Linked DNA regions of Mus musculus. The protein of the gene in region 1 interacts with the protein of each later gene in a pairwise test. Links are inferred from orthologs where the notes say so. Each region holds a gene or a part of one and is shown on either strand. Other genes may lie near its edges.

Region 1 (3,814 bases):
GGGGTGGAGGGACCAGAGACATGGCTCAGCAGGTAAAGCCACTTACCCAAACCTAACAGAGTGAGCCAGATTCTGAACCTTGTGGGATGGAAGCCAAAAACCAACTCCCAAAAGTCACTCTTTGAGCATCACAAGTGTCATGTGACTCCTGTACCAATCAACACGTTAGATAAATAAATGCATCTTTAAAAAAAAATGTAAGGTGCACAAGGGAGACGGCCACTGTGTGCCCTACAAGCTAACCAGACTGTGGTGTTTGCTTTCGGAGCGCCCCGAGGCATGTCACTGACACCTTCACTGTTTTTGTAGAAGAAGGATATGTAAAAATGTTTCTTCGAGGCCGTCCGGTCACCATGTACATGCCCAAAGACCAAGTGGATTCGTACAGTTTGGAAGCAAAAGCTGAGTTACCAACGAAGCGGCTGAAACTGGAGTGGGTGTATCCTTTACTGGCCAACCAGACTGTCAGGGAAGGCTCCTGGTAAAAGACTTATAAAAGTTAAATATTTTACTATTAGCTGTTTAAAAAGTCAAAATTTCAGATGTGGCCATGTAGGAGAGGCAGCTTCAGAGCAAGTTCCCATGATTGTGGTTCCCGTTCGAATGCGTACCCACTGTCTTCCTGAAAGGACGCCATGGAAACAATCTTTGTACAGATGGATGGATTGGGGGCCAGGGGAATATGAGTGTCTGGCCTGCCTGTCACAGAGAAGCAGCAAGCTTAGTGAAAATCATTAAAATTGGTGTCTTAGTCAGGGTTTGTATTCCTGCACAAACATCATGACTAAGAAGCAAGTTGGGGAGGAAAGGGTTTATTCAGCTTACACTCCCACACTGCTGTTCATCACCAAAGGAAGTCAGGACAGGAACTCACACAGGGCAGGAACTTGGAGGCAGGAGCTGATGGAGGGATATTTCTTACTGACTTGCTTCCCCTGGCTTGCTCAGCCTGCTTTCATATAGAACCCAGGACTACCAGCCCAGGGATGGCTCCACCCACAATGGGTTAGGCCCTCCCTCCTTGATCACTAATTGAGAAAGTGCCTTACAGCTGGAAATCTCGGAGGCATTTCCTCAAGGGAGGCTCCTTTCTCTGTGCTAACTCCAGTGTCAAGTTGCCACACAAAACCAGCCAAAACAAGCTGGGGTGGTGTCGCATGCCTTTAATCCCAGCACTTGGGAGGCAGAGGCAGGCAGATTTCTGAGTTCGAGGCTAGCCTGGTCTACAAAGTGAGTTCCAGGACAGCCAGGGCTACACAGAGAAACCCTGTCTCAAAAAACCAAAACCAGCCAGTACAATTGGGTAAATGTCAGGACTCTAATGATCATAATTTCAACAAACCAACCACTTGTTTTTTTGAAACAGGGTCTTCCTATGAACCTAGCCTTTAACTCACAGCAATGCTTCTGCCTCACTCTCCTGAATGCTGGGGTTATAGGTATGAGCTTACGCTCCCCTAAAGAGCTAGTGGTCAGTCTCTGTTGTTCAATGCTGTATTCATTTCCACCATGGAGGAAGGCTGCAGCAGCCTTTCCCACCTACCAAGACTCTACATCAAGTTTATAGTGATTGTCTGCCACTCAAGGAATAAAGTCGAGCTCTGAAGACAATCCCGACATGTTGATTTAAGTTGGTGCTGCCGAGCCTTCGCTGACAAGAATTAGTATTTGAGATGGTGGAATCATATTCATGGAAATCAAAAGATTAGAAGTTGTTTGGCCATCTATTTTGGCTCATGCCGTGGTAGGGGATCTGCCTCTTCTTTAAATTGAGTAGTTTTAAAAATCTAATCTGGAAAATGTTATTCAAAGAATGCTTCCTTATTTGTGTTTTAAAAGACTCGAAACAAGAAAATTTGCTCCAAATAAATGGCATTTTGGCAGGGTTTTTTTTTTTTTCACTCAAGTTTAAGTAACACTTTGCTCTTTTAAAGTACACATGTGAAAATTTTTAACACTAGGTCAATGAGAAGGCTCAGTGGCTAAAGGTACCTGCTAACAAGCCTGAAGCCCTGCGTTCAGTTTCCAGGATCCACTTGATGGGAGGAGAGGGCCAACTCCTGCAAACTAATCCTCTGACTTCACTTGTACACAGGCCCCTGTGCCCCTGTGCTCTTGCATGCACACACAATAAATAAGGTGTAATAAAATTTAAAACCATTGATAATTATCCCCAAAATTCTGGGGCACCATTAGTTAATTCATTAACTTAATTAACAGTTACAGGTTAATTAATTTTGAAACCTTTGTTACATTTGAGTGACATTTGTATTCTTTATAAGTACTTGTATCATTTCAAAGTGATGTTTAATAAAAAGATTTAGCTCCTAGATTGCAGACAGTAAAAGCTGTTTGGCTCAATAGCTTCTAAAAATCAAAAAAGTCTTCATTTTAAAAAAAATGTTCATACCAGACCTGGTGTGTAGCCAGACATGTCTGTGACTCCAGAGCAAGGGAGGTTGAGGCAGGAAGATCTGAGCTAAAGCCAGCCTGAGCTACCCCGTGATCACCTGCCTCAAGCACAGCCTGAGAGCATTTGCCTAACACGGGAAAAGCCCTGGGTTCAATTCCCAGCACTGCAAAATGTTGTGTTCATATTATTACAGAGCACTTAAAATTTGTCTTTAGGTATGTAGGTACTGAGGTCCACTGGGCACTGAGTGTCAGAATCTATTTAATTTTGCTGTTGTTTGAGACATGGCCTCTCTCACCATGCAGCCCCAGCTGGCCTGGAGCTCACAGAGATCTGTTTAGGCTCACAAGCACGCGCCACTGCACCCAGCACGTTCTCAGTTCAGCGTTGTCTAAATTGGTTAAACTGATAGCACCATTTCACAGCATCTTTGGGCCTGTTGAATGAAGCGGTAGTTCTCCAGCTCTTAAAAGCAAAGGATTTTCATCTTGACATACACTAAGCTACGGGTACCGGGGGCGAGACTGTCGCAATAACTTGTACTTGCTCCCGACCGGGGAGACCGTGTACTTCATTGCGTCTGTCGTGGTGCTTTACAATGTGGAGGAGCAGCTGCAGAGGCATTACGCGGGCCACAACGATGACGTCAAGTGGTGAGTCCCCACAGACAGGTCGGCAGGACATAGGTGAACTAGCCTTAGCCAAAAGAATTCAGCATCAGGGCACAAGCCAGGGGTGGGGTGGTGCAGGGCTCTGAAGGTGCAAAGCTCTTCTTTCTATTCGCCGTGTTGTCTTTGGGCTCCCTAATTCTGCTCTCTGTGCTTCTATGTGACCAGATTATCTGAGGGAAAAAGCTTCAGGAAGCTTTCTTAACATCCTGAATGTTAAAGACTTCAAATTGGGTCTCTAAGTTTAGAAAAACGTGCTTTGTGTGCAATGGCAGTGGTGGGCGGGGCCTGGGTGGTGGGCGGGGCCGGGCCGGGGCGCAGTAATTTAAAAAAAGAAAAAGAAAAATTTATAAAGTTTAAGAAAAAAAGTTTAGGCCGGGCGTGGTGGCACACACCTTTAATCCCAGCACTCGGGAGGCAGAGGCAAGCAGATTTCTGAGTTCGAGGCCAGACTGGTCTACAGAGTGAGTTCCAGGACAGCCAGGGCTATACAGAGAAACCCTGCCTCGAAAAATGAAAACGTGCTTTGCTGTGTACATAGGTCTGAGTCTGGCATGCCTATGGATCATAGTATAGCTTAGGGAAGACCTTGCAGTGGGTAGATGGGTTTGTGGTCCTACTGACATGAGACGTCTTTCCTAATTAACACACCCAAAAATGACTTGTAGAAAAGGGTGGCGACTAAGTCAGTGGTTCTGAGAAGGAAATGCTATTTTCCCAACAAAGGATGCCT
Region 2 (3,914 bases), on another chromosome or scaffold:
TAAATCCAGTCCATAAATTTGTATTATAGGATAACTATGAGCTTATGAGGACCAAGGATGGAAAGTTTGGCTAAAAAGTATGATGTTTGGTCATAAGTTGACAGGGATGGACTTGTGACACAACTGTCTACTTAATAGAATTATACTAGAAGGCAAAGTTGAGCATGTCTGTGAGCTTTCAGATTGGGTCAACTGAGGTGGTAGGATCCATGTAAAAAAGAAACTAATCCTTACTCCAATAGGAAGCCTTCCTAATCACGTGACATTATTCTCCCTCCCTTTACCATCCTTTGACACCTCCCCAGAATATCACTTGCTGAAAGTCCTCTCCAGACCTCTCTCTACTGTCTCGACCCACGCTCCTCACCTGACTCCGAGCAGTCTTAAAGGGTGTAGCGTTAACCATGTGGCACTTCCGGATGCCACTCCATCTGGTCCGGTAGTTGACGATGTAGCAGGGGGGGAGGACGTACTCATCGTACAGCACATCACCATTGTAATTTACAATGCTGCATCGAGCCAGGGAACTAACGCGTCCCTTGGGTCCTGTGCCCACCATTTCACAGTCTATTGCCACCATCTTCCCTGGCAAGTTTTGGGGGACTGTAGGGCACTTATCTTCAGAACGAGCTTGGGTGGAGTTCGGTACAGCATTTTTCTTCAAGGGCTTCTTCTTGGAGCCTTTATCCTTTGACTGAGCTTGGGTGGAGTTCTCTGTAGCAATTTTCTTTTTCAAGGACTTCTTCTTGGAGCCCTTCTTCTGGGTGCTCTTAGTCTTTGGAAGGGCACTCTGAAACTCCCCTAGCAAATCTATTTTAGACACAACAGAAGCAGTCTTCTTTGAAGGAGCAGGGGTCAGCCAAGACAATGGTGCTTTCTTGTCTTTGGACTGCTCTGAGTCCCTCTTGGAGGCAGCTGCCTCTTTCTTCTTTGGGCATGGAAGGATCTTCAAAATGCCATCTACTCTTGAAGTTTCCCCTTTCTTTGGAGGTTCTGAGTTCAACTTAGACACCTTGTTAGGGGGTTGGTTCTTTTTATTCAGAAATCCTTTCTGTTCCAAGAACCTTCGCTTCTTGACAAAGCGTTGATGTTTGGCATTTCCTCCAAATGCCTTTTTCGAAGGTTGCCCAAAGTCTAAATTCAGGAGTATGGTAGACATGAGATCAGTGGATGGTGGGAGGAAGCTGGGAAGAATGGCTCACTGATAGCAAAAGGATGAGAGGCTCATCCTCTGTGGAATCCCATAGTTCAACATGTGGAGGTCTGCAATCAGCCTTGGGGACAAAGTAATCCTGATTCCCGCACCATAGGCCTGAGAGAAAAGAAGATCAGTTCTGGAAGACATAAGTGATAACTTCCACAAGCCCCAAAGCCCGGCTAACTACTGAAGCCTCCACAATTCACCTTTAGGTTGGTCTTAAAAGGGTTATTTCCCTTCTCCGGATCTCTGTGCCATTTTAAAAACTAAAGATGCTGGGGCTGGAGAAACGCCTTAGTAGTTATAACCTTGTTGCTCTCGCAGAGATATTAAGTTCAGTTCCAGGCACCCACGTTGTAGTAGTTCACAGCATCTGTACCTCCAGCTTCAGAAAAAACTAGATGCCTTCCGATCTCTGCAGGCCCCGGGCAATTAAACGATACACATACATAAATACAAACAAAACACTCAGACAAATAATAAATCTAATTACATAAAATGAGGGTGCTGAGGCTGCGGATAAAAAGATGTGGGACCCACGGAGATCGACTCTATCATGTCTATGAAGTCAAAACAAGGGCGTCAGATGAGACTTTTAAGTACCAGTGGTGAGAAGAAACAACACAAATACCCTCTGGATCACCCAGGAATTCTCAGCGTGCTACGAAATGAAGACCAAATCCAGGTGTCGCGCTCCCTCGGCTCCACGTGGGGGCGATCTCCTCACATACCTTACCTGTCTCCCACAGTAAGGACACAGTGGAGGGCCAGCCACCTCGGCCACCACATTCTTGACGATCCACGAACTATTCCCGAACACCCTATACACCTACCTCCAAGTTGGTTCCCCACTAAGATCGCAAGCGTCCGAAGCCGGATGCAGGCGCAGGCGCGCGCCGACGTATGCCGGGACGGCAAGAACGCGGGCGACAACGGGAAGGCGGCCGGCGCGCACGCGCCCGCAGCGCCCCCACCTCAGGCAGCGAGGCCAGCGACTCGGAGTGCGTGAGCAGCGGGAACGGCGGTGGCGGCGGCGGCGGCGTGGGTGGGGGCGGGGGCGGGATGCGCTCCCCGGCCCCTCGGGCCCCGTGGAGGTACAACTCGAAGGTGGTGGGCCGCGGGAAGCGGAACAGAGTGCGCCGGAACCGTGGTCCCACTTCCGGGAGGGAGGGTGGGACCTGCAGCTGACCCCCTCGCCGTAAGCTGGTGCTGGGCGCGCTTCTGTGACGTCTCCGAGTCCCCTGCGGCTGCGCAAATGGCTTGGCCCAGTGGAAGTCGTGACGTTGGGCAAGTGCGCCTTGTTCTAAGGATTTGTAATAGGACGGGATCGCCCTGAGAGGTGTCGTCGGGCGGGTTCGGAGTTCTTGCTTTGCGTCGGGCGTGCAGAATTGAGTCCGGTTTGGGTTGCATGGTTTCGTGGTACCGACCTTGTGTCTCCTCACCTCCTCCCTCCTTGCACCGACATTTCACGCCACAGGATGCGGGGCGTTTCAGCCCATGGCCTCTCGCATGAGGAGAGAAGGCAACTGGCTGTGGACCTCACCCGCGTCCTAGCTCACTACCGTTCCATCCTGGACGCCTACATCATCGTGAGGCCACCGGGCTGAGGGCGGGGTGCTTCTTGGGGGGCGGGGGGTGAATAGGAGCCCACTGCAGAGAAAATGTGGAGACAGCTTTTATCTCTTCCTAATAAGGAACGCGTTGACTACTAGAATACTTTTCACCCAGCCTTCTGACTCTAATACTTAAGTTTTGTTTGTTTCATTTGAAACCCCACAACCAACATTTGGCCATGCTACAGTTGCATAGAAACATACGAGAAACGAGATGTTCCATAGGATATCCTCCACTAAAGGCAATAAAGAGTGGGTTGGGGAAGAGGAAGTGCTTGGCCAAATGTGGTGTACCCTTGTAATCCTGTCACCTAAGAAGTAGATGCAGGAGAATCGGGAGTAAAAGGTTCCCCTGGGCTACAAAACAAGTTCTAGGGCAGCCTGGACTGGACGATGTTACTTTAAAAAAGGAGGGGAGGGAAACAAAACAGGGCAGACATACATAAAGTTACCTTTCTGTAATCTCGCCCCTCAGAAGACTAAGGCAGAATTGTCTTGACTTGCAGCCAGCTTAACGAGTGTTGAGACATGTCTCATTTCCCCCCAACTCCCCCCCACACACACAGAAGAGCACCAGCAAGGCTTGTGGGTGGGGTGATTCTCAACCTTCGTGATCCTACATCCATCCATTTAGTACAGTTCCTCATGTTGTGATCTCCAACTATAAAAGTATCTTTTGTTGCTACTCTGTAACTGTAATTTTACTACTGTTATGAATCGTAAATACCTGATATGCGGGATAGCTGAAGTGTGAACCCCCAAAGAGGTCCCAACCTACAGGTTGAGAACCGCTGTTTTAGGGTAAATGTTTGTCTAGGACTAACAAGATGGCTATGTGGTTAAAAGCATTTTTGTTTGTTTGTTTTTTGTTTTTTCGAGACAGGGTTTCTCTGTATAGCCCTGGCTGTCCTGGAACTCACTTTGTAGACCAGACTGGCCTCGAACTCAGAAATCCACCTGCCTCTGCCTCTGGAGTGCTGGGATTAAAGGCATGCGCCACCACGCCCACGCCCGGCTTCCTAACAAGGCTTTTAATTGCTCCTTAATTAGTTCATTATTTTCAGATGGGTACTCACTATGTTGAAATATCTCATGGAGATATT

What was found.
Region 2: the proteins of Eml1 (region 1) and Isg20l2 interact in binary tests that used the Homo sapiens proteins (3 or more experiments, as listed by UniProt). The two-hybrid records come from large-scale screens. The link is inferred for Mus musculus from reciprocal best matches to the Homo sapiens genes EML1 and ISG20L2.

What each region holds. Positions count from the first base shown.
Region 1 is NC_000078.6:108,506,170-108,509,983, forward strand, and holds part of Eml1 (echinoderm microtubule-associated protein-like 1), read left to right. Parts: intron 1-309; coding exon 310-439; intron 440-2,916; coding exon 2,917-3,066; intron 3,067-3,814. UniProt on the Homo sapiens protein: Modulates the assembly and organization of the microtubule cytoskeleton, and probably plays a role in regulating the orientation of the mitotic spindle and the orientation of the plane of cell division.
Region 2 is NC_000069.6:87,928,729-87,932,642, reverse strand, and holds the start of Isg20l2 (interferon-stimulated 20 kDa exonuclease-like 2), read right to left. Parts: upstream 2,330-3,914; 5' UTR 2,200-2,329; coding exon of another isoform or gene 2,076-2,199; 5' UTR 2,032-2,075; exon of another isoform or gene 1,924-2,031; intron 1,313-1,923; 5' UTR 1,160-1,312; coding exon 368-1,159; intron 1-367. Other genes in the region: protein RRNAD1, read left to right, coding at 2,677-2,787. UniProt on the Homo sapiens protein: 3'-> 5'-exoribonuclease involved in ribosome biogenesis in the processing of the 12S pre-rRNA. Displays a strong specificity for a 3'-end containing a free hydroxyl group.